3 linked regions of the Diceros bicornis minor genome follow. The protein of the gene in region 1 interacts with the protein of each later gene in a pairwise test. Links are inferred from orthologs where the notes say so. Each region holds a gene or a part of one and is shown in the gene's direction. Other genes may lie near its edges.

Evidence for each region.
Region 2: the proteins of GRAMD2B (region 1) and TMEM43 interact in binary tests that used the Homo sapiens proteins (3 or more experiments, as listed by UniProt). The two-hybrid records come from large-scale screens. The link is inferred for Diceros bicornis minor from reciprocal best matches to the Homo sapiens genes GRAMD2B and TMEM43.
Region 3: the proteins of GRAMD2B (region 1) and CD207 interact in binary tests that used the Homo sapiens proteins (3 or more experiments, as listed by UniProt). The two-hybrid records come from large-scale screens. The link is inferred for Diceros bicornis minor from reciprocal best matches to the Homo sapiens genes GRAMD2B and CD207.

Annotation. Positions count from the first base shown.
Region 1 is NC_080740.1:46,731,547-46,739,238, forward strand, and holds the start of GRAMD2B (GRAM domain-containing protein 2B), read left to right. Parts: upstream 1-4,672; 5' UTR 4,673-4,857; coding exon 4,858-4,940; intron 4,941-7,692.
Region 2 is NC_080741.1:88,707,586-88,715,287, reverse strand, and holds the start of TMEM43 (transmembrane protein 43), read left to right. Parts: upstream 1-4,702; 5' UTR 4,703-4,876; coding exon 4,877-4,888; intron 4,889-7,702. Other genes in the region: CHCHD4 (mitochondrial intermembrane space import and assembly protein 40), read right to left, coding at 4,090-4,300. UniProt on the Homo sapiens protein: May have an important role in maintaining nuclear envelope structure by organizing protein complexes at the inner nuclear membrane. Required for retaining emerin at the inner nuclear membrane.
Region 3 is NC_080751.1:17,712,081-17,719,970, forward strand, and holds the start of CD207 (C-type lectin domain family 4 member K), read left to right. Parts: upstream 1-4,847; coding exon 4,848-4,923; intron 4,924-5,017; coding exon 5,018-5,134; intron 5,135-6,525; coding exon 6,526-6,900; intron 6,901-7,500; coding exon 7,501-7,652; intron 7,653-7,890. UniProt on the Homo sapiens protein: Calcium-dependent lectin displaying mannose-binding specificity. Induces the formation of Birbeck granules (BGs); is a potent regulator of membrane superimposition and zippering.

The DNA of each region.
Region 1 (7,692 bases):
CTCAGGCTCTTCTCTGAAAACTTATGGCAGGGATTCGATTTTTCAATTTTGTTTAGTGTGTGGCAGGCAAACTTTTCCCCTCCCCTCAGATAGAAACTAATACAGAACACAAATATATGAAAGAGATACAAGTAGGAGAGTTCTAACTGAAGTAGAAGAGGCTGTATATTGAAGTAGTGGTAAGAGGCAGGCGCTGGAGACAGAAGACCTAAGTTCAAAGGCCAGCTCCTCTCCTCACTAGTTCAAAGAGCCCCAGACTCCCTACGAACCTGGTGTGAAAACCACTGTACTGGATGGTCTCAGCGGCCTCCCCACTTCACATGCTGTGATCTGTAACATTTACCATACAGAAAGTAGACATATATTTTAAAACTTTGGGATAGATTTTTTTTTTTTGTGAGGAAGATCAGCCCCAAGCTAACATCCATGCCAATCCTCCTCTTTTTTTTTTGCTGAGGAAGATCAGCCCCGAGCTAACATCCATGCCAATCCTCCTCTTTTTTTTTTGCTGAGGAAGACCGGCCCTGAGCTAACATCTACTGCCAATCCTCCTCCTTTTTTTTTTCCCAAAGCCCCAGTAGATAGTTGTATGTCATAGTTGCACATCCTTCTAGTTGCTGTATGTGGGACGCTGCCTCAGCATGGCCAGACAAGCGGTGCGTCGGTGCGCGCCTGGGATCTGAACCTGGCCCGCCAGTAGCGGAGCACACGCACTTAACCGCTAAGCCACAGGGCTGGCCCCCTGGGATAGATTTTAATGTGGCATCATTTATTTCAATTTTTAAAAAGACTCTTGAACTGAAAGAGTTTTTTTACTCCTCCTTTCTCACAGAACCAGATTTATACTAGTGTTTTCCAACTACCATCTGCCCCTCAACCAGTAAGCCCCTACCATCTTGCCTATACCTCTCAACACAGGTGCTAAGCTTAGTGCTTGCCTCATCCCTAAAAAGAGAAATAGAGTATTTAAAATCTCCGCATCTGCGTTATAACTTGGCTTGGGAGATACTGGTTTAAAACCATTCTATTTGATTTTTTTAAATTTTTATTTATTTATTTACTTCCCCCAAAGCCCCAGTAGATAGTTGTATGTCATAGCTGCATGTCCTTCTAGTTGCTGTATGTGGGACGCTGCCTCAGCATGGCTGGAGAAGCGGTGTGTCGGTGCGCACCTGGGATCTGAACCCGGGCTGCCAGCAGCAGAGCGCGCACACTTAACCGCTAAGCCACGGGGCCGGCCCCTGATTTTTTTTTAAATATTATTTTCAAAGCCCTCTATAGAAGGAGATTCCATAGCCTACTATAGATTCCCATTCCAATGTTTAATGGCTATACTCATCAGGAAACTTTCTTTCATTTTTGATAGAAATGATTTAATAAAGATCCCCTTCAGGTAATGCTTCTCAACTTTCATTCTTATAACTTTTTTTATAAAGCCTTATAATTAAGTTCTTCGGTACCACTGTATGGCTCTCTTCTGAACTCTCTCATTTTTTTCCCATTTAATTCTCCTTTGGCTATTGACTTTCAATTGAAAACAGGAATTGACTTTCAATTGAAAACAGGTCTGATGAGTGTTCCTAGAATTCTTTGACTTATGACATTGATATATTAAATATTATACATAGTTAAATTATTACAGAGCTTCCAGTTTACATCTTGATAAAAGCATCAACATCTAAACCATGTCATCAGACAATATGCATAAAATTACAGGAATGTGACGACACTTTATGTGTACTTATGTTGGCTAATAAATACACACCCTGCCACGTGTTATAAATTAGGAAACTACTTGACCATATATTGGAACCTTACCTCCACTCAGATCTCCAAACTCTGTCCCTATGACTACAGACAGATGCACAGTGTATCTGATCAGAGTTAAGAACAGACCAACATTTGATCATACTCTAAGCTGTCGAATAGAAGCCCCTATCTACTGAAAGGTGATGGGTTAGACATTTTCTACTGTACCTGCTTCAATTACTGGAAAAAGTATCAGCTAGCACTCTTCTTTGATATTAGAAACAAGAAATTATGTTCCCAGAAGCTTGGAGGAAGAAAAGTAAAGGGTCTTTTATTGGATAGAGCAAAATCAAAGAGCCCTCTAAAATATATTTTAGACATAATCTTACCTCTCTGTTTTGTCACACTAAATGAAATTTCCCCTATCGTTTGTCTGTTGCTGCCTTTTAAATACTGCATTCCATTTTATTGTACAATAGCCCCAAGGATAACCAAATTAGGAAGCTGTTTGACAATGTCTTTTAAACTTAAGCAAACATCACTAGGTAAAATAATGTGGTTTACTTGCTCCTTTTGAATTCCTCTGCACTCTAGGAAAGGACTATCTGCTATTTTCCCCACCCACCCCTATCCTTACCCTCTCCCCTCCTTTCTCACTTAAAACCACACTATTGCAAGTCTTCAGCCCATACACTAAAGAACAAGTTCAGGGCAACCGAGTGCTTGTGAATTGTGCTATAAGCCCATGCTGGGGAAGCTCTGAACACTTGACCTTACTCACGTATCAAAAGAGGTCTGACCATGGTTCCTCAAAACGTTAAACATAGAACTACCATATGACCCAGCAATTCCACTCCTAGGTATACGCCCAAAAGAACTGAAAGCAAGGACTTGAACAGATATTTGCGCATCAGTGTTCACAGCAGCATTATTCACAATAGCCAAAACATAGAAACAACCCAAATGTTCCTCAGCAGATGAATGGATAATCAAATGTGGAATATACATACAATGGAATATTATACAGCCATAAAAAAGAATGAAGTACTGATACATGCTACAAATTGGATGGACCTTGAAAACATTACCCTTAGTGAAATAAGCCAGACACCGAAGGAAAAATATTGTATGATTCTACTTATATGAGGTACCTAGAATAGACAAATTTATAGAGACAGAAAGTAAAATAGAAGTTACCAGGGGCTGGGAGGAGTGGAAAAGGAGGAGTTATTGTTGGATGGGTACACAGTTTATGTTGGGGATGATAAAAAATAGTATGGGTACAGATAGTGATGACAGTTACAATGTGAATGTATTTAATGTCATTGAATTGTACACTTACCAATAGTTAAAATGATAAATATTATGTATATTTTACTGCAATAAAAAAAATTACTTAGGGGGCAAAAAAAGTCAGTTCTGGACTGAGCTCTGTAGTGGGGGCAGCTTAGAGGGCACCTGAGATTTAAGGAGACAGTCATTACCCAGAGTTTGAGAGGGTGACGACTTCCTCTATATTCCAATCCCACCCCTGCCCCAAGTAGGGTGGGGAGCTAGAAGAGGGACTCGGAGGTGAAGGTGTCGGTAATGTCTGCAGGAAGAGGCAGCTATGGGCACTGAAGAGACGGCTTCCAAGTCTCCATGACACCCAGAGCCTTCCCCACCCCGCCAAGCCAGCCTCCCCAAGTAAGGGGGATCAGTGGTCAGGAAGCAAAAGACAGAGACCTGACCAGGCCAGCTCTCACGGAATTTATGTAAACTTTTTCATTTTGCTTATTTTTCAAGTGTCACGAGAGTCAATTCTGGAACAAGCAGGCTACAAAAAGATGCTTTTATTCTCTGGCCTGCTGATATAAGACAGTAGATAGAGTGGAAACAAGAAAACTTTGGCGAGGGCTTTCATCTCCAAAATGTTCGAGGTTATTTAGAAGGGTAGGTGTTTTCTTTTACACACACACACACACACACACATATATACATATATATATTAATACTATGGTTGCATATTCTTTGCAATTATTCTTAAATCTAAAATTAATTTTAAAAGAAAAATGAAGGACTTGCAACACCAGAACACAGACTTAGTAATTTTTCCCCAGCCATCTCATACTCCACTATGTAATTGTTTTAAAGTTAGGCTTCCAACAACAAGATTTTATATTAGTTTTTCTTATTCTCAACTACTCTGTAGCAAATTAGAAAACCACCAACACATACGTTATTTGCTATAAGAAGTGAATGTTTAGAATAATGCCTGCAACATAGTAGCTCTCAAAAACTGGTTAAATGAATTCACAGATGCTTCAGATGCAAAACTTCAGACAGAACCAGCAAGTTAAAACCTCACCAAAAGGCGGGAAAGAGGAAGCATTCATTTTATTGGTTGAGTGCATAGCAAATAAGTTGCTAATGAGGTTTTGATGAACGCTTCTCCCTCCACAAAACTAGGAAGGGTTAGCCAGGCGACCACTAAAAGCAACCACCTTTTATTACCTTTGTTATTGAACTGACCTATTGTTAAACCCCGACGAGGCAGCCTTCAACGAGGCAATATCCTGTTTGAATAATTTAGGCAGGGGCAGAGGCCCGCCGACACAGCGCGTCTGTGTGAGAGAGAGCCTCCCTCAGTCGTTCCCATTTCCTGTATCTGCAGCCGGCTGCCCATTTTTAAAATCCCCTAGTTACAGTCCGGGTAGAAAAAAGCCCAACTTCATAGGAGGCTAAATGTATGGTGCCTTGTTAGGCAAATGTTTCACCTGCTTGGCCAATTAGCTTCCTCTCCCCCAGAAAGACTAGTTCAACAGGTTTCCTTTTTCTCTTCCTCTGCCTCCTGGGTTGGGGAAAGAGGCTGTCACTTCGCTTCGACCCTCCCCTTCCCTCCCTCCGGCTCTTCCACGCTCGCTCGGCCCAATCGCTCGGGCTCGACCGTGTCCAGGTTGGCAGCCGGCCGCGCTCGCACGGCCTGGATGCGCCGAGCGCCCGGGGGGCGCAGGGGACGGCGCGGCGCGGCTCCTGGGCCTGCGCCCCGGCCGCTGGGAGCGGCGGGGAGGAGGCGGACGAGACTGCAGGCGCGCCGAGGTCTGAAGGTGCCCTCCAGACGCGGCCCTGATGACTGAGCTACAGCAAGATGTGGAAGACACAAAGCCTGCCAAAGTGCTCGGGAAGAAAGAGAGCAAAGTTGGCTCGGCCCAGTAAGTATGCTCAGCTGAGACCCATCCGAGGCGGCAGAAAGTGCGCTGCCCGAACTTTTCCGCCAGGGACGAGTTGGGAGTGGAAACGGTTTTCTGGAACTTTAACATGGAGAGCCCTGCCTGAGGCTTGAACTCTTTCCGTGGCGCCGGGTGTCTTTTTTTTTTTTCCCTCAGATTCTGTAGTAGAGAAAAAGCACAGGAGCATTTCAGGAATGTACTGTAGCTTGCAGTCCGGTGGGGATGTGAATTCTTTGAGCCGAAAGCACTATTGGTGTTTTATAATTCCCGAGAGAGGGCTGCGGAAACCACTCAGATCTCTCAGTCGTGTCAAGCGACAGCGCGAACATTTATTTCTGTTGTTTTTACTTCATAATGACGTGCGGGTAGATGCGGTTGTCTCGTAGATGTCATCTGGTCCTTAGCTTCACAATGATGTGTTTTTTGTCATTTGATTCAGAGCTTGAGAGTGTCTTTCCTCCATCTCCTTCACTGTGCCCCTCAAGAGAGGGGAAAAGTAGTGGAAAACGTAAAATATGCTTTATCTTTCCCCTCTGAGACTGCCTGCCTGCCTTTCGTTGGGTACTTAAACTTGTTACATACTTGTTATTGAGAGAGGGTGTAGGGGTGGAGTGGGGGAGCACAACTAACATGTAATAAAACAGTTCACATACTGGTTATGACTATCTTATGAGATTCGTGTGCATAACAGGATTTGCACATTGTTTGACCTATAAATTCTTATGGTTTAAGAAACTGAAAATTCAAATATTTTGATCACAAGGATTAACTTCCTGTACTGAAACTTATCTTCCCCTGTACTACTTTGGGTTTTTTTAATCCAGAAGTATGATTATTTACATGATTGTTATTCCCAAACATTATTCTTTCAAAAAGGAACAGAATCTTTCAGTATTTGCTATATCACTATAACATTAAGTAACATTAAGATAAATATCTAAATAAGATATTAAGATAAATAAATAAGCCCAATTATATTTTTTATGTTACCAAGCTGTTGGGGGTACCTAAGATGCTTTATTGATACTAGTATAACAAGATGATAAAAATTTTAGTAATGAAGATTAATCTCCATCATTCATTATTTCAGCTTTTACTCATTTTTTAAAACACAGCCTCATTCCATGTAATGACTTGTGTTTATAAAGGCATTTGCCACGTGTGTATCTGTTGAAGTTTGGGCTGAAGTTTTGAAAGAAGAATAGATTTATTAGCTGCTTTGATTTGTAATTTCAGAGGCGTTGATCGTTTTCTCTCCCAGTGGCTGCTTTCCTTGGCTGCTCATTCTTTTGCCCTCCCAGCTTTGTCGACTCAAGCTGATGTTCTTTCCTCTACAATAGATAAAAGATGACAGAAAAAATCGCTAGAGGTATAACCCTCACAAAATGTTTTTGTTTTCTCACCCAAAAATAAAATCCTAACTCTATACTAATAATTCAAGCCCAAGAAAAAGATGAACTAGCAAACAGCATCCATTTCCTTTGCACCTAATCATTCTTTTATATACTGTCCTTCCCTGAAAGGAAAATGTGGATAGTAATGTGGATAATCTTATGTGGATAGTCTTACCACCATTTCAGATGTTGGAGGTGACAGGGGGACTTTCAACTCCTAGTCTAGAACTCATCCAAAGGCAGTATTTAGTTCCAGTTACACAAAGCAGAATGATTCAAGTCCACCATATAGCTACGAAGTTTTAAATCTTCACATTCCCAGTAGTCTAGATACTTAGTTAAGGAGATCATTTTGATTGCAAAAGATCAACACAGCAGTAAATGCTACTGTAGCGTTTAGACTAATTATATTAACGTAAAACTCTTCAGATGCTGGGAAAATAATTTTGTAGAATATGCACCTAACCACGTCGATGCTCAAGGCCCCAAACAGCCAGCCCTTCATTTGGAACAGCCGGTTCCACAAATTTATTTCAGTTCAACAAATGTTGGAATATGTCCCATTTGTTCAGTAATGGTGGGGAATACAAGAGTGAATGTGATTTGGTATCTGCCCTTCTGGAACTCTAAGAGCAGTGTTGAGCGGAGGCACATATGTATATCACTGTACTTCAAGGGACATTGGTAGCCATCGTCACATTAAACACACCAACAAGATAGTGTAAAAAGTTTGGCCTATAACTGAATCTTTTCCATAGTCAGGATGTTTATCCCTTTGGCAGTCTTTGGTAAAATTCTCTTGGGTTTTATTTTTATTGGTTGTTTTGTTTGTTTTTCCCTACAAAGTGGTGATTTCCAGGCCTACTGAAGTCACTTCTGATTCAATCTAACATTTTTGACACTCTTCTTCTGAGCTCTTAAACTCTTGCTTTGGTAACAGAATACGAGTAATTTTAAGACAGAGGTAGATACATTATCACAGTGATGTTTTAGTGCGATAATTCCATATTTGAAATCATTTTGAGTAGCAAAACTTTTATGCTTAGAAACCCAGTCTAACTTCTGTTTTGAACTTTGTAACTTAGATGAATTGTCACTAAGCTCAAAGTTGTTGAAGTCCGGGTGTCCCAATGGACATTTTCTTCTAAGAGTGTTAGAATGGCTTGCTCCTCCCCATTTTCCTATGTCTGTAACTACACCCACATAGGCCTCACCAGCTAGAACCTGGCCTCCTAAGTAATAATAGCTGGCATTTATTGAGAATGCTTGCTATGTGATGGGCAGTGTGCTCAACACTTTACATTCATGTTCATACAGAATGAGGTGGATACTATTGGGAT
Region 2 (7,702 bases), on another chromosome or scaffold:
CTGAAGTTTACTGACACCTTTAGTTGGCCGTGGTGGTTTAAACCTAAGTCTTAGAGGCTTCACGGACAGAAATGATGTATAGGAGGGAATGATCCCATGGAACTCTGATCATTCTGAGCCTGTGAGGGTGGCATTTTTCCCATTCTGCATGGATGTCTTGGTCCACTCAGACTGCTATAGCAAAATACCAACCGGGTACCTTATAAACCACTGAAACTTACTGCTCACAGTCCTGGGGGCTGGAAGTTCAAGATCAAGCACCGTCACCTTCCGGTGAGGGCCATCTTCCTGGTTCACAGCAGGCGCCTTCTCACTGTGTCCTCACAGGGTGGAAGGGGCTAGAGATCTCTCTGGAGCCTCTTTTACAGGGGCACTAATCCCAACCATGAGGGCTCCACCCTCACGACCTAAGCAACTTCCAAAGGCCCCATGGGGGTTAGGATTTCAACATATGAATTTAGCGGGGATACATTCACACCACAGCACTGGGGAAAGAAGGTTCCTTGAGTGATCTGACCGTGGTTTCTGGGCAGGCACATATCTTTGCGTCCCCAATCCTGGTACCCAGATGGTGCTCATGTTTGTTGCATGGGCACAGTAAGGGCTCAAAACCAGCTGTGGAAAGAACAAAAGCACAGGCCTGAGCCTGAGATTTAAGCCCAGCTTTGGGAGGTCTGGCTCACAGTGGCATCAATATTCCGGAGTCTTAGGATTGGGGTTCAAATCTGAGCATAAGCACATAACAGCCATGATCTCAGGCACTGTCTTGGGGCCTCAGAAAACAGGCCTCCCCAACCAGCTCAGCCTACCTATCTCCTGTGGTTAGGGCAAGAGTCAAGATACTTCGTTAACAAAGGAGGTGAAATGAGTTTCTGCTCTTACCTGAAATCCTGCTCAAAAGACAGTAATTTTTTAAATGGCATCAAATGATAAGGATAAAATGGCCAGGAAAAGAGACAATCAGAGGCGAGACATGTCAATAAAATTTTGGAAGTAGGAAAGCTGGTAGAGGAGTGCTCTCTGACTTGACAAATGGAGAAAGCTGAACCCAAAGTCACAAGGAGGGGAAGTCAACTAATCCCCACCCCAGGACCCCAGTAAGGGTCAGGAATCGGAGGCCCCAGTGGTCACTCTGAAAACAGGACTTCAGGGTGGGGCTGAGAACAGGACTAATTGAACAGTTGGATACCAAGATACCCCAATTCCATAGTCATACAGCCATTCTTGACCCCTATCTTTCTCTCACACCTCCATCATCAAATCCAGTTGGCTCTACCATCAAACACATCCAGAAAGATCTGCATCCCTCACCTCCATGAGCCCATCTCCCACCATTGGCCCCCTCCATTCCAGCACCTCCCTGCTTTTACTTTGACATGCTGAGCACACACCTACCTCTAGGCCTCCGCACAGGCTGCTCTCTCTCCAGATGCTCTCCTCAGATATCCTCAGAGCCACCCTCTCCCTAACTTCACACCTCCTGATGCCACCTTCCCTGACCACTCCTCATCTCTCACCCTCTTTTTCTCCAAAGTGCTTTTCCTCACCTAACATATTATATATCTGTTTACCACCCGTCTCCCCCACTGTAATGTCAGCTCCTCAGGGGCACGGATTTGTCTATTCCATTCACTGCAGTATCCCAGAGCCTACAACAGTGCCCAGAGCATAGTGGGTAAACAATATTTGTTGAAAAAGTAAATGGAGACACCGAACTCTGGATTAGGACATGAAAACCCCAGCCCCAGCAGAGGGCAGGAAGACAGAACGGTTATCACCATTAAGGAGGTGAGAGAAAACCCTTGGATGGGTGGTCTCATTTCCCCCAGAACGGGGACCACAAACATGCACAGGATCTTTACACATCAGACTCTCAGCATGTCCAACTCAGAAGGAGCGCCCACCTCTCCCAGCATGCCACAAAGGCAGACTGTGTCATCTGTGCTCACATGCTCAGTGGCTGGAGCATCACAGGAGCTCAATCAATGTTTGTTGACTGAACAGGGGAGGGCAGGCTCAGCATTAGAAGAAACTCAAAAAAGAAACAGTGTGGTGCTGACACAGAAAAGCATGGGTGGTCCAAAGCCAGGGAGAGAGGCTGAACCCACGTTGTGGAACACCGTGAATGCCAAGCTAAGGCCTGTGTGCTGAAGGCTGCGTGGTGGATGGACCCCTGAAGTAAATTTGCGCAGGCAAGTGATTCACTCAGAACAGAGGGCAGGCATGCATATGGGTTCATTCAATAAAGATCTGAGTATCCATCTGTACATCAGGCTCTGTGCTAGGTGCTGGGGATGTGGCCCATCTAATGCTCTCAGCTTAGTCCAAGAAGACAGACGGGAAATAAGATGACAAAAATGAACAAGGTAATTTCAGAGAGTTTAGGATGTGAAAGACACAAAGGGTCAGGGAAGACCTCTCTGAGGAGGTGACATTTGAGCCAAATCTTGAAGGCTGAGGAGCCAGCCATGGAAGAGATGGAGGAAGGAGGTACCAGGCAAAGGGAACAGCCAAGAGGCCAATGTGGCTGAGCAGTGGTGAGGTGGAAAGAGATGAGGCTCAAGCTAGATTGGGCGGGAGCTAGATCACATGAGCCTTTAAATGGCAAATAGTTTGGGATCATTTTTTTTAAGTCCCATGGGAAGCATAAAAAAATAAGTGGGTAGAAACAAGTTGAAGCTTGAGGGGACACTAGTATGGATAAGATAAAAACTAGAGAAGGCCTGAAAGTGAGTGCTTTCAATTCTCATCGCCAAACTAAGAGAGAGATCTTTCAACCAGGAAAAGATAAGGATCCATGCTTTGGTAGCAGATGGAAACTGCCTCTCCTTCCCAGATAACCTGTGACGTCTAGAAATCTTCAAGGGCAAGAGGGGCCTTATTTACCTGCACAGCCTCATTATATCCAACAGGCTCAAAATTATTTACTAAATGAAGAAGTAAATTAGAGACTCAGAAAAAGGAAATTAAAAACAAGAGACCTACTGTCTAACAAAGTGGTGAGGGCAGAGGACTTCTGTTCATGGCACAAGGAAGTGTTAGTCAACAGAAATAGTACTCAGTATGGACATCAGTGAGTACTACGGCTTTATGACCCAGGGAAGAGGAGGGATTCTAGAAGCAGGGTAGGGTACTGGAGAAAAGGCTTAGCATTTTAGACTGAGTTGTTCCCCTAACTGGATGTATGGGTAGGTCATCTTCTCTGGGCTTCAGATTCCCTGAATTAAACTGAGGGGCGGGACTATTCACCACAGAATTTCTAGATGAGTTCCAACTCTCTCTGTAGCTTTATATTCTCAGGTGTCCACCATCCCCATCACCTGGCACAGGGAAGGTGCTTCACGAGTATCTGCTGAATGGATGAAGACCAACTTCTCATTTTACAGGATTGGAAACTGGGGCTTGGAGGGTTAGGTGGTAGCTCAGGGATAAAGAGCCAAGTAATGGCAGTGTGTGCCGGAGGCCCTGGGACCTCCGACCTGGACACTTCTGAGCTCTCGGGTAAAGGTAACAACAGGGAAGCAGAGGGATGGTAGGCGGAGCCCAGGTTTGTTGGGTCACGGGGTGGGGGTGGGGGGTTCCCAGCAGAGGGCTCCCTGCAATCCAGCCGGCACCAGATAGGACAGTGCAGCTCTGGAATTGGACTGCCAGGGCTCTGACCCCAGCTCCACGCCTTAACCGCCGCATGGCTTTAGCCAAGTCACCTCTGAGTCTTAGTTTACTCTTTAGTAAAAGGCGGATAACAACAGAGCCTGACTTACAAAGGTCGCTGTGAGACCAATGAGATAAGCCTTATAAAGCTCCTTGAACAGTGCCTGATATGTAGTTGGGGCTCAATACGTGTTCCCGTTGGCGACACCTCTACCACTCCAGCACAGCACCTAACCCGTGCGGCAACTTTTGGGGACAGTTAAAAGGCGCACGCAAATGGAACACGTGGTGCGTGGTGAGAGGGACAGTAACAATTAATAACAATACATTTCCAGTTACGAGCCAGAGGAAACGTGCTCAGCACTTCCCTTACCCCCTCCGGCCTAGTTTATGAGGTCTCCACGTGCGGGTCCCTCTGCGCTCCGAGTTCGGCCTCACCGTGACCTTGGACCTGCCTCGTTCCTCCCAGAGTCTCGGTTTTCGCATCTGCAAAATGGGGGTGGCGACCGCCGCCCAGCCCGCTCCAAAGGTCAGGAGGAGGGTACCCCGAGCCGCGGCCCAGGTCGCCATTGCCGGCAGTGGGGTCGCTGGGCGCCGGGGCCTGCCTAGACCGCGTGTCCCCTGCAGGCCCTCGTAGGCCGGTCTCCATGGCAGCCCGCCCTCCCTACCTTCCTGCCGGCAGTAGGCCATGGCTGCAGCCCAGCGCTCAGATCTCGCAGCGATAGCGGCGGCGGCGGCTTCACGCCGTGACCTCTCCTCAGGCGCGACGGGCGGCTCCGAGGCCCCCGCGGACCCGCCCCCTCCGAGCCTGCCCGCCGCGCGCCTGCTTCCGCGCCCTCCCAGCCCCAGCCTGACCCGCCTCAGCCAGGAACTACATTTCCCAGCAGGCCGCGCGCCGCTCAGCAACTCTCTGGGGAGTAGGAACTACATTTCCCAGAAAGGCTTGCAGTGCGCAGGCGCATCAATGACGGACAGTGCATGTTGCAACGTTGTAGCTAAAGCGCCTGACCCTGGACTACATTTTCCAGGAGGCCGTGCGGCGCGCATGAGCAGAAAAGCTGGGGGCCTACGGGGCGGTAACCTACTGGCGTGTCTACTCTGGTTCTGGGCTTAACGCAGGTTGTCGCAGCTCTCACGCAGAGGAGAGGCAACTGGACCCCGCACTCGGGCCGTAAGCCCCCTTCTTAGCTGAGCAGAGCGAGGGGGCGGCGAGCTGGGTACTACCATGGCCGCGAACGTGAGTGTCTCCTGGTCCGCCGGGCCACACCCAGACTTCCCCATCAGCCGCGGCCTCCTCTTCCCCGGAGGGCCGCCGAGGTCCATTTTGCTTGTCTGACCCTTGTCGGGGCGGCCATCCCCAAACCCTCTGCGTGCCCGTGTCTGTGCCTCCGGCAACTAGTCCGTCCGTTCTTTTCTCTTAGCCTGTCCGGATTCCTTTCGGTCCACCTCATCCTCGGGTCGCGGGTTTGTGGGGAGGGAGGCTGCGGACGTCTTGTTCCCGGCGTTGGGATCTGCTTGTGCGCGGCGCCTCCCCGCAGCCCCTCCGTTCCTTCCCTCTGCCCGCCTGGGCCCTCGGGGTTCTCAGATTTGCGGACTCGGAGAGCTGGTCGGGACCTCGGAGAGAGGGCCTTCCGCAGGAAGGGTGGGGAAGCCGAGACCGCCCAGGTGGAGCTCTCCAGCAACGGACAGACAGGCGGGCTGTCCGGCGGTGCCGCTGTCCGGGCGGGCACTGAGCTCCCCGCCCTCGGCGGTATGTAAACCGAGGCTGTGATGCTGTAAAGGGGCGTAGGCTAGGTCGGGAGCGGAGAAGTTAGGATGACTGTGAGAGGGAGCATTTCCCTGCTCTCGGGCCCCTCGTCTTCCTAGCGTGGATTTGGTTAGAGAGACCCTGGCAGAAGATGGTTCTCTTCCAAAGGCTGCAGGTCTCTTCTCCCCACAGCCAGCCAGAATCTTTCCATTTAAGCCCAACATTCATTCAACAAACCGAGCAGCACCTCCCACCAGGGCGCTGGGTGTGGGAGAAGCTGGTGACTCACCACTCCGATCCTCTGTGAAAGTGCTTCTGGAGCCAGCTCGGGAGCCCTGCCAGCCCCGGACAATCCCTCCCTCCTGCTTTGGTGGAGCGTCCTGGCTACTCTCCCCTGGCCTGTTACACCCTCTTTTCAGGCCCCTCCTCTGTCCCTAGGCATCCTCTCTGTCCCCCCCCACCCAGGGTTTGTGTCACCCACAGCCGTAGCACACTCTGCCTGGTGTTAGCCTTGGAGCCTTGAATGCTGCACCAAGAAAAGCCTCAGAGGTGGTCTGTGAGACCCAGGGTCTGCCCGGGAGAGGCAGGCCACATCATGGGAACGTGTCGTGGGAAGGTGCTGAAGACTGCAGGCTCTGGAGTCAGGCCAACCTGGGGGCCAGTCCAGAGTCTTCCTCTCAGTAGCTGTGTGGCCTCAATCTCTTGCTGTTTATATTTCATCAAAGGATCTGTTACTGTGAAGTTTAAGAGAGACTGTGCATAGTAGGTACTTAAGGCATCAAAAAAAAGCCTATCTTCACAATCCTGGTGGGCAGAGACCACCTCGAGTATGTTGGGACCTGACCTTCGCCAAGGAATGTAGATGAATTTGCTTATCCTCTCCTCCCAAACCTTGGTTGATTCATCCAGTAGCTGGGTGCACATTTGGAGGAGCCACCAGGGCTGGTGAGGAAGAAAGATCTGAAGATGGTAGGGCGGAGCAGGGAGGCGACAGAATTCTTACTCAGTGTAACAGTTGTCCTGTGATGGAGGTACTGTTACCATCTCCATTTTATAAGTGAGTAAACAGGATCAGAGAGGTAGTGCAACTCACCCAGGGTTACACAGCAAATGATTTTAAGGGCCTATGTGTCGACATCTGTTCCCACCACTCATTGCTCATTGCTTCAGTCCTTGAGTGCTGGGACTGGGAGGGTATATGTCACTGAGGATATATATATATGTATTTAACACACATCAAGGAGCCAACATCAAGATCAGGGGCTTAAAGATGGCCTTGAAGAGAAGGAAGAAAGGCATAGGAAGGTGCCGCTCCAGCTAGGGGAGGGGGTGGGTAGTGAGGAGTGGGCAGAGAGGAAAGTCCGTGAGCCTCTGTATTTGCTGGGAGCTGGATTCAGAATGTGGGCTGGGTGTGTCATGTCACTGGGTGTGTCATACTCCTAAGCGGGGAGTAGCAGGACCAGCTTCTTTTCTTGACCCGTCCTGCCTGCAGCTGGCCCCCCATGGTCGCCTCTCATTACAGCCCAAGAAGTGAGGAATGCAGCCCAGGGCAGAGTGGCAGGAGAGTGGCCTTGGGCTGCCCGGATTTGAATGCTAACTCCATCTGTCAGAAGCTAAGTGATCTGGGCTGATGGCTTCACTGCTGAGCCTCCGTTTTCTCATCTGCGAAGTGGGGGAGTGATAGCGCCCACCTCCTTGTGCTTGCACGTGACTGGCCTGTGAGAGACTGGTGTGTTTGCCACTGTCATCATTATGATGGCTGGTGGTCACCTACCTGCCTGCAGCAAGTTGCTCCGCTGTTTCCAGATGGCATGGAAAGTCAAGACCATTTCTGAATGCAGTGGACATTGGCCCCTGGCAGGCCTGGGCTCGTGGCATTTGGGGAGAATTCAGAGAACATGGCCTTCACCTGTTTCAAGCAGAGGCTGACTGCAATCTCTCCTCTGATCCCCCCAGTCCTGCACTCAGGGCCTGGCTCACCCTGAGTGCTCATCTGGGAACCATTTTACATCTTTGTGGCTTATGTCAGCTCATCCCCAGCCTTGGTACCAGCCTTGGTATCAGTTACAGAGAAAGCTGATAACCTTCCACCGGTTAGAAGCTGTGCCATGCTTACTGTGCCCTAGGCACTGAGCCAGCTGATAATTACGTCCTCTGGTTCTCCCCACAACCCTCCGTGTTGAATTATTATCCCCATTTTACCGATGAGGAAATGGAGGGCGCCGAGGGGTTGAATTGCTTGCCCGAGGTCTCCTGGCTGGTGCACGGCAGAGCCTGGATTCAAACCCAGTCTTCTGGCTGCAG
Region 3 (7,890 bases), on another chromosome or scaffold:
TAGGTAGCCTTTTCAGATTGACTTCTTTCACTTAGTAATATACATTTAAGGTTTCTTCATATCTTTTCGTGGCTTAATAGTTCATTTCTTTTTAGTGCTGGATAATATTCTGTTCTCTGGATGTATCATGGTTCTTTTATCCATTCACCTACTGAAGGCCATAGAGTTTCATTCATGTGTCAGGTACAAGGCTCTATATCTCTCAAACTCCAGGGATATATCCCAAGCTTTCTGAATGGATCTGTTAAGCCTACGCTAACTTAATATGATGAGGAAGTGTGGTAGGCAGAATAATGGTCACAAGGATGTCCACATCCTAATCCCCAGAACCTGGAAGTATATTAAGTTACATGGCAAAGTGGAATTAAGGTTGCTAATCAGCTGACTTTAAGATAGGGAAATTATCTTGGATTATCTAGGTGGGCCCAACATAAGAGTCCTTAAAAGTGGAAGCAGGAGGCAGAGGACTCGGTGTCAGAGTGATGGGATGTGATGAAAACTCAACCTGCTGATGCTGGCTATGAGGCAAGCAATATGAGCGCTGAAAAGGGGCAGTAGTTTCCCAAAGGATGTCAGATATAGGAGTGGGGGATATTGATATCAGAAATAGGGGTGGGAAAGATGCTAGAGAAAATACATAGGGGCTGTCCTGTTCAATACTTATATAAATATTTGCACAGTTTTCATCAGATATAGCTGTGGAGATAGATGTAGATGTATAGACAGTTAGGAAGAATGAACTGTGTATACAGCTGGGTTTTTTTTTTCTGTATGGTAAGTAATTTTTTTTCTTTTTGCTAACCTGCATTTTTTCTATAACGAATATCATTAGTTATATAATAGAGAAATAAAAGATTTAAAAATAAACTATGCATACTTTTTCCAAGAGCCCTTTGCAGCTTTCTTGACATGAATTTGCCCTTCCTACTAAGGCCACAGGCAAGAGCTCCTTGACTTGGATGGTTCAAAGCTGCCTCCTCTGCCTGGAACACAGCAATCCCTCCGTGTAGCCAGGTTGCCCACCCATATCCATACCATGTTGGTTATGATGGCACCAGACATAATGGCCTGTTCACTGAGGTCTGGCCCATTGTCACTGTTCCAGAGAAACTTTCCCCTACATAATGTCCTAAAAAACAGGAACCTGTTCCAGGGTCAAGGGAGACCTGGAGAAGCCCCCCTGCAGTGTCCCCGGTCCTTTTCAGTCTTGGGGGAGTCTTCCCTTCTCCCCAGAATTAAGGATGCCGAATTTTTTCAACAAGAAGAACACTATTCTGAGGGCAGGGCTATGGCTGTCTTTCTCCTTTCACCTGGTGCACAGCAGGCATTCCAGAGGAATGGATGGATGAATGGTCTCACCTACCACTCCTTTCTTCTTCATTTCTCTGCCCTATCCTCTGTTTCCAGGGCACACATCCAGAGGGTGGCATGGAATCCCTTGATTATCTGGGGTCTGCTGGTCAAATCCTGCATTACATTATACACAGGAATCCCATCTGAGGCCTGTGGAGCAGGCCCGACCAGCAGTAATAGCGTCTCCTTTCTCATTTCATAGTCATTCTCCCCTCTCCTGTCCCCCTTCTCCTCCTCTGTCCTCTGTCTCTCTGGTTTATTGTCCACTCTAGTTTCCTCTCTGCCTTAACTGGAGGGACTCAGATTGCTACCCCTCGGAGATGACGCTCGGCCCTGCTGGGGCATTTCAAACAACCTAGGCCTCTTTTCCACTTCCACTGATTTTGTCCCTGGGCCACCCCCAAGCATAAGCAGAGTCTCAACCAGAGAAGTAGAGAAGTGGCCAACTGTTTCCTTCCTCCACCCTTATCCAGAGAAGGTCTAGAACCCCGGGAGCATGACAAATGTGGAAACAGAGAAATGAGCACAGACTTCCCTTTCTTTCATCACAGCGGTGATTTTTGGTCACTCTAGGGCTGGCCCAAAGTTCCTCCTCTGTTTGGAAGAGCTGGGATCTCCTGAGTGTCCAGGAGAATTGCCCATCCATTTTCCTGTCCAGAAACCATGGCTGAGGCACCCGCCTCACGCTCTGTCTTTTCTCCTCCCAGACTGTCAGGCCAGGGGCCAGATAGAGCGCCCAGAGGGATGGGTGGGAGAGGTCCTCAGTAAATACCTGCAGACAAGCATGGCCAAAGGAAAACAGCTGTGACTCACTCCTTCTCCGCCAAGTGGGAAACGAAACTCCTTATGGCCGGGACTTTCATACCCATTGTCTCTGAAACCCCAGAGAGCCCACAGCCCAGGATTCTGGTTGCTTCTTGCCCAGCTTCCTCATGCTGGATCAGCGTCTTGCCCAGTGATCAGCAGAGTATCTACCTGAGGCCCCCATTTCTATCACTTGGAGTAAATGCTCCCCAACCTCAGCCGCTTCTTACGCAGTGGGCCGCAGCTTGGTGAGGCTTCCGGATCCTTTCCTGGGACCACTGAGAGGGCACATGGGCATTCCATCAATAACTCATGCTATATACCAGCAGAGGTTTGGGAAAAGTCAACTTTTTGACAGAGAGGGAAGGGGCCAGATACCCTCAAGTTGTGTTGTGTGGCAGCTTCTCTCCCTGAAATGCCTTAGGAGGAGACCAGGACCCCCAAGGGCAGCTTCTACCAGAGTCTTGAGTAACTTGGATTCTTCTCCACCCCCAGGCCCTGGACTATAACAGGTTGTGAATGTAGGACCAGGATCCAGGAGCAGAAGGGTGGAGGTGACTCTGGGGTTAGACTGGGTACCAGGCACGAGAGCTCAGAAGCAGAACATTCTAACCCCTCTGAGCCCTGGTGGAACCAAGGCTCTGCAACTAGATGAGCAGCTTGAAGAGAGTGAGTGTAGTTATAAATGTTCAGAGACAGGCAGTGAGTTAGTGAGCCTTCAGTTTGTGGGATTAGCTAATGTCAAACGTTAAACAGATTGAAGCTATAGACAGAATGTGGGTAGGGAGGAGATGAGATAGGGTGAATGAACACCATCCTTGCGATCCAGCTTCTTTCCTAGCACTTGGGAAGTATGGCGTGGAGTTCTCTCTGGGTTCCCTCATCCAGTCAGAGAAGCAGCTCGAGTCAGAGGTCTAGTCAGTCTGGAGGCAGGGCAGCAAGGGACCTGTAAGCACAATGGGCGGAGCAGGAGGTAGGATCCTCTCACATATCAAAGGCAGCAGAAGCCCCTGCAAGTGTAGGTGGCTATTCCCTTGGCCCTGCTCATTTAGCTTCCAACCCTTGTCCCTGCCCACTCTGTCATCCAGATCCACTGGCTCAGACTCAGCAAGGCTGGGCCAGCTTTTTAGTCCTGTGGCCAGAGTCGTTTTGCATTCTTGGGTAAGGTGTAAATCATACTTCTCTCATGCATTTACTGTGTAAATGAATGAGAACTGCTGGAAAGAAACAGCAGCTTCTGGAAGACAGATCTCAGTCCACAGACTGTAGGTTTGAGTTTAGTAATGATCTGCCATCAACTCTTCCATTCATTTATCTTTTATCTATCCATCCGTCAATCCTCCATCCATTGATCTTCTATCCATCCATCAATTCATCTTACCATCCATCCATCCATCCATCCATCCATCCATCCATCCATCCAACCACCCATCCATCCGTCCATCCATCCATCTATCCATCCACCCACTCATCCCGTTATCTTCCTTTTCTCCTTCCCTCTCTCTCTCCTTTCTTCTCTTCTCTACTTTCCAAGAAATATTTATTTGGAATCTGTTATGTTCCAGGTTTGTCAGGTTTCACAGACTTCTTCAAAGCATGAGAAGCTGCCCAGGAGAAAACTTAGTCCTTCGCTGAGCCCCTAAATAACTCCTCTCTGCTCTGTGCATCTCCCATATATGAAAGAATGGTTCCCAGCTGAGCCCCCCACTTTGGGAAGCTGACATGTGCAGGAAGCAGGGAGGAGAACTCAAATCTTACATTTACATTTTGAATCTCCAAGCTTCGTTTTATAAAGGGATACTGTCTCATCTAAGATGCCTTGATAACAGAAAGGAGGATATTTTATTGCAATGGTCTCTTTATGGTCTCCCTGCCTGCAGGTTCCCCATACCCTAATCTGTGCTCCTCACCACGATCAGAGCAATCTTTCTATTATGTCCCTGTCCTTGTCTCTCTCCTGCCTGAAGTCACCCATCAGCCAGAGTTCAAGCTCCTTAACATGACCCAAAATGATCTTCATGATCTGATGCCAGGTGCCTCTTTAGCCCCGTGACCTGCCTGCTCCTGTCATATACTGTACACTTCAACATTGCCAAATTACTTGTAGTTTGCCAGCCACTCCATGCCGTTTGATGCCCTCATATTTTTGAATATGCTAATCCTTCCACCTGGAACTTTCCCCCAGTACTCCATTCTCTATACTTCCTTTGAAGGGCATTTTCTTGTATTGTTATGCTCATCACCCTGTATTGTAATTTATTTGCTCAGGCCTGTCTTTCCTACCAGACTGTGAGCTACTTGAGTTCAAGGACTGAGCTATTCACCTTTGTGACCCAGTCCTAGTCCAGTGACTGGTACCTAGAAGACACTTAATATGTGTCTGGTGGATGGATGATGGATGAGAGGAGTCTCATAAGAGAAATAGGATAGCCTTGGGACCAGATAATTAAAGTGTCCATGTAACAGATCCCTCAGGGAAGAAGACAAATGGCCTCTTCCTGAAAGCTTAGATCTTTGAGGAGAGGATTGAGCTATGGCCTAGGCCAGACAAGGTGTCTAAGTCAGGAATGCGGAACTTTGGGATGACATGATGGCTTCCTGTGGGACTCACTTCCCTTTTCCTCTGGATAAAAGGTCCTTGGGGAGAGAGCCAGCTGGAAGCACCTGTGCTGCAAGGGTGAGCGTGCGGGATGAAGGCTGCAGAGAGTGAGGTCCCCGATGCGCACTTCACTGTAGATAAACAGAACATCTCCCTCTGGCCCCGAGGCAAGCACCAGTCACTGCTCAGAATCTGCTCAGTGCTCTGCTCCAAAACCTGCTGTTTGCTGGTCCTTCAACAAACATTTTTTTCTTCCAACAGAGCCTCCTCCCAAGACGGGTCTGCCTCTGGTTCCGAGGAAACTTCTCACAGTCCGTGCTGCAGTAATCTTCCTGACGCTGGTCCTGGTCGCCTCTGTCCTGCTGCAGGCCTTTCTCTGTAAGTCCTCAGGTTTAACTGTCTGGGCCTGGGTCTTCTCCACAGCCAGTCAGCTCTCTCGACATCCAGACCCTCTCTTTCCTGCTCTCCGGTGGTCTCTCCCGCCTGTGGCTTTTTCATTTGTCTCGTTTCTCCTCCTTCCACGTGCAGTCACAAGGATCCCGTTCCCAGTAAGATGTGCTCCTGCTGTCTTCTTCCCAATTCCAGGGAGATTTTCCTGAATAGGATCAACACTTAATGTGCTTATGCTCAAAGATACATTCACCTATTCACCTATTGCCCCAAGAAACGTTCACCTATTTCTTCACCCCTCGTCATTTTCTCCTCCCTCTCTGAGCTCTGTGTCCCTTTGGTTCAGAGCCTTGTGGGCAGCCCCCAACAGTGAGCAAAATGTTTCCTGTCCCCACAAGGAATGGGGTCCCAACTGTATCCTCAGCCCCAACTGACTAGATGGAGAACTTGGCCAAGGAGCCAACACATGTCCACAGCTCATCCCTCACCAGGACCCCGCTGCACTCTCTTCATTCTCCTGTTCCTGTGGAGATCACATTGAGGGAGTCTTCCTCTTTCTTCCTTGGTGTGTGACTTATCTTTCTTCCTCTTGTGGCTTTGCCAAGCCTCATAGCCTCTGCTGCTGGCAGAGCCTTCTTCCTCCCACTGGGTCACCAGAAAGCAGAGGGAGGGAACATCTGTCTTCTCCCTTCCAGGCCTCAGACATATTTGGTCTCAGACCTGGAGCCTCTGAGCAGAGTTTCCTCCATTTTGAGCCTTCTTGGTTTACTTTTGGACTCCTCTATGGCACCCGAGCCTGTGACAGTGGGTGGAATGAAGGAAGGGAAAAATGGTTTCATAATTCTCCCTTTCCGTATTCTCTGGAGAAGTCACTTCCAGATTAGAAGACTGCATGGCTTGCCCCTCCCGTGGTCAGGAGAAGCCTGTGCACAGATGTGGGAGGGGTAGTCCTGCCCTAGCTGATGGCCACTGCATGGGTCTCTGAAAGGAGAGGGCCGGGAATCAAGTGGTGGGGCCCAGAGGGATGTGGGGAGGGGACGAGGGGGTGGTTGAGTTGCCCTGAACACTCAAAGAAAATTGAGGACTGGGTACTAATCCCCACTTCTGCTTGCCTGTGAGGTCCTCTAACAGAGATCCTGTGTTCTATCAATCTCTGCGTTATCTGCAGCCACCAGAGTTCCTGGCACATGGTAGGTGCCCACTGCATGTTTGTTGAAAGAATACATTGTGAATGAATGGAAGATAGGTGACAGCTCTTTGGGTTGAGTCCTTGAGAAGCTTGAGCTTGTCCCTTCCCTTCCCTTCCTTTTATCACCTGACACCCCCACTCCTGCCCCTGGGGATCGCCTCAGCTGACTTCTTGACTTTCTCAAATCCAGATTCCTGGTTTATGGGCACAATATCAGATGTAAAGACCAATGCCCAGTTGCTGAAAGGTCGTGTGGACAACATCAGCACCTTGAGTTCTGAAATTAAGAGGAATAGAGGTGGCGTGGAGGTGGCCGGTGTTCAGGTCCAGATGGTGAATGCCAGCCTGGATCGTGTGCGTTCTCAGATCCAGAGGTTGGAAACCGGTGTGAAGGAAGCCAATGCTCAGATCCAGACACTAACAAGAAGTTGGGAGGAAGTCAATAATTTAAATGCCCAAATCCCCGAGTTAAAAAGAGATTTGGATAAAGCCAGTGCTTTAAATGCAAAGGTCCGGGGACTCCAGAGCAGTTTGGAGAATATCAGCAAGTCGCTCAAACAGCAAAGTAAGTGACTGAGAAAAGAAGTCACTTTGCAAGCTGACTAGTGGCCCATGGGACCTTGCCAACCTCAGGCCTGAGGCCACAGGGCTGGTGTGTGTGGAGGGAGGGGGAGAGGAGCAGAGCAGAAATGGCTGGAAAGTTAAGAAAAGTGGGCTCAGCATTGGGGTTGGGGAAGATTTAGGGGCTGTTCAGGAGAGAAGGGACCAGGAACCAGCTTGGGCTCCCATACCAAGGCACAGAATATGCAAGCATTAGGGAGTCTCTCTGTCCTGGCCCAAACCTAGCCATTTCCCATTAAGTTCCTTTCCTAGAGCCCCAGGGCTCAGCCGCTTGTGATGGCCAATGGAGAATTGTTTCTCCTTCATGAGAGAGACAGATTCTTGACCCATCTACTCTCACTTTCCCCTCTCTGAGCCCGGAGACTCTACCAATCTCAGTCAGACTTACATGATCTAAGAGAGTGTCCCCAAGTCCCTACACAAGGACCCAAGGTCCCCAGAGCCCAGCCCCATTCCCCTCTGGGATCCCACTCAAGTACCCCATCCCACCCAGCACCCAGAGAAGACAGGACACCAGTGGTCACCTTTCACACTTGTTCCCCAGATGACATTCTCCAGGTGGTCTCTCAAGGCTGGAAGTACTTCAGGGGGAACTTCTATTACTTTTCTCGCATCCCAAAGACCTGGTACAGTGCCCAGCAGTTTTGTATGTCCAGGAATTCACATCTGACCTCAGTGACCTCAGAGAGTGAACAGGTAAGTGCCATTCCTATGGGCTCTAGGAAGGGGGTGTATTAGTACCTGTACCAGGTACTAGGCAGGAGGGGCAAGATTATGCTGTGGTGACAAAATTCCCCAATTATCAGTGACCTAACGATGAAAGATTACTTCTCACTTACACTACTTGGCCAACAAGGGCCAGCAAGGGGCTCTGCTCATGGTGGTTACTCAAGGATCTAGGCCAAAGGAGACTTCATCTCAACATATGTTTCCA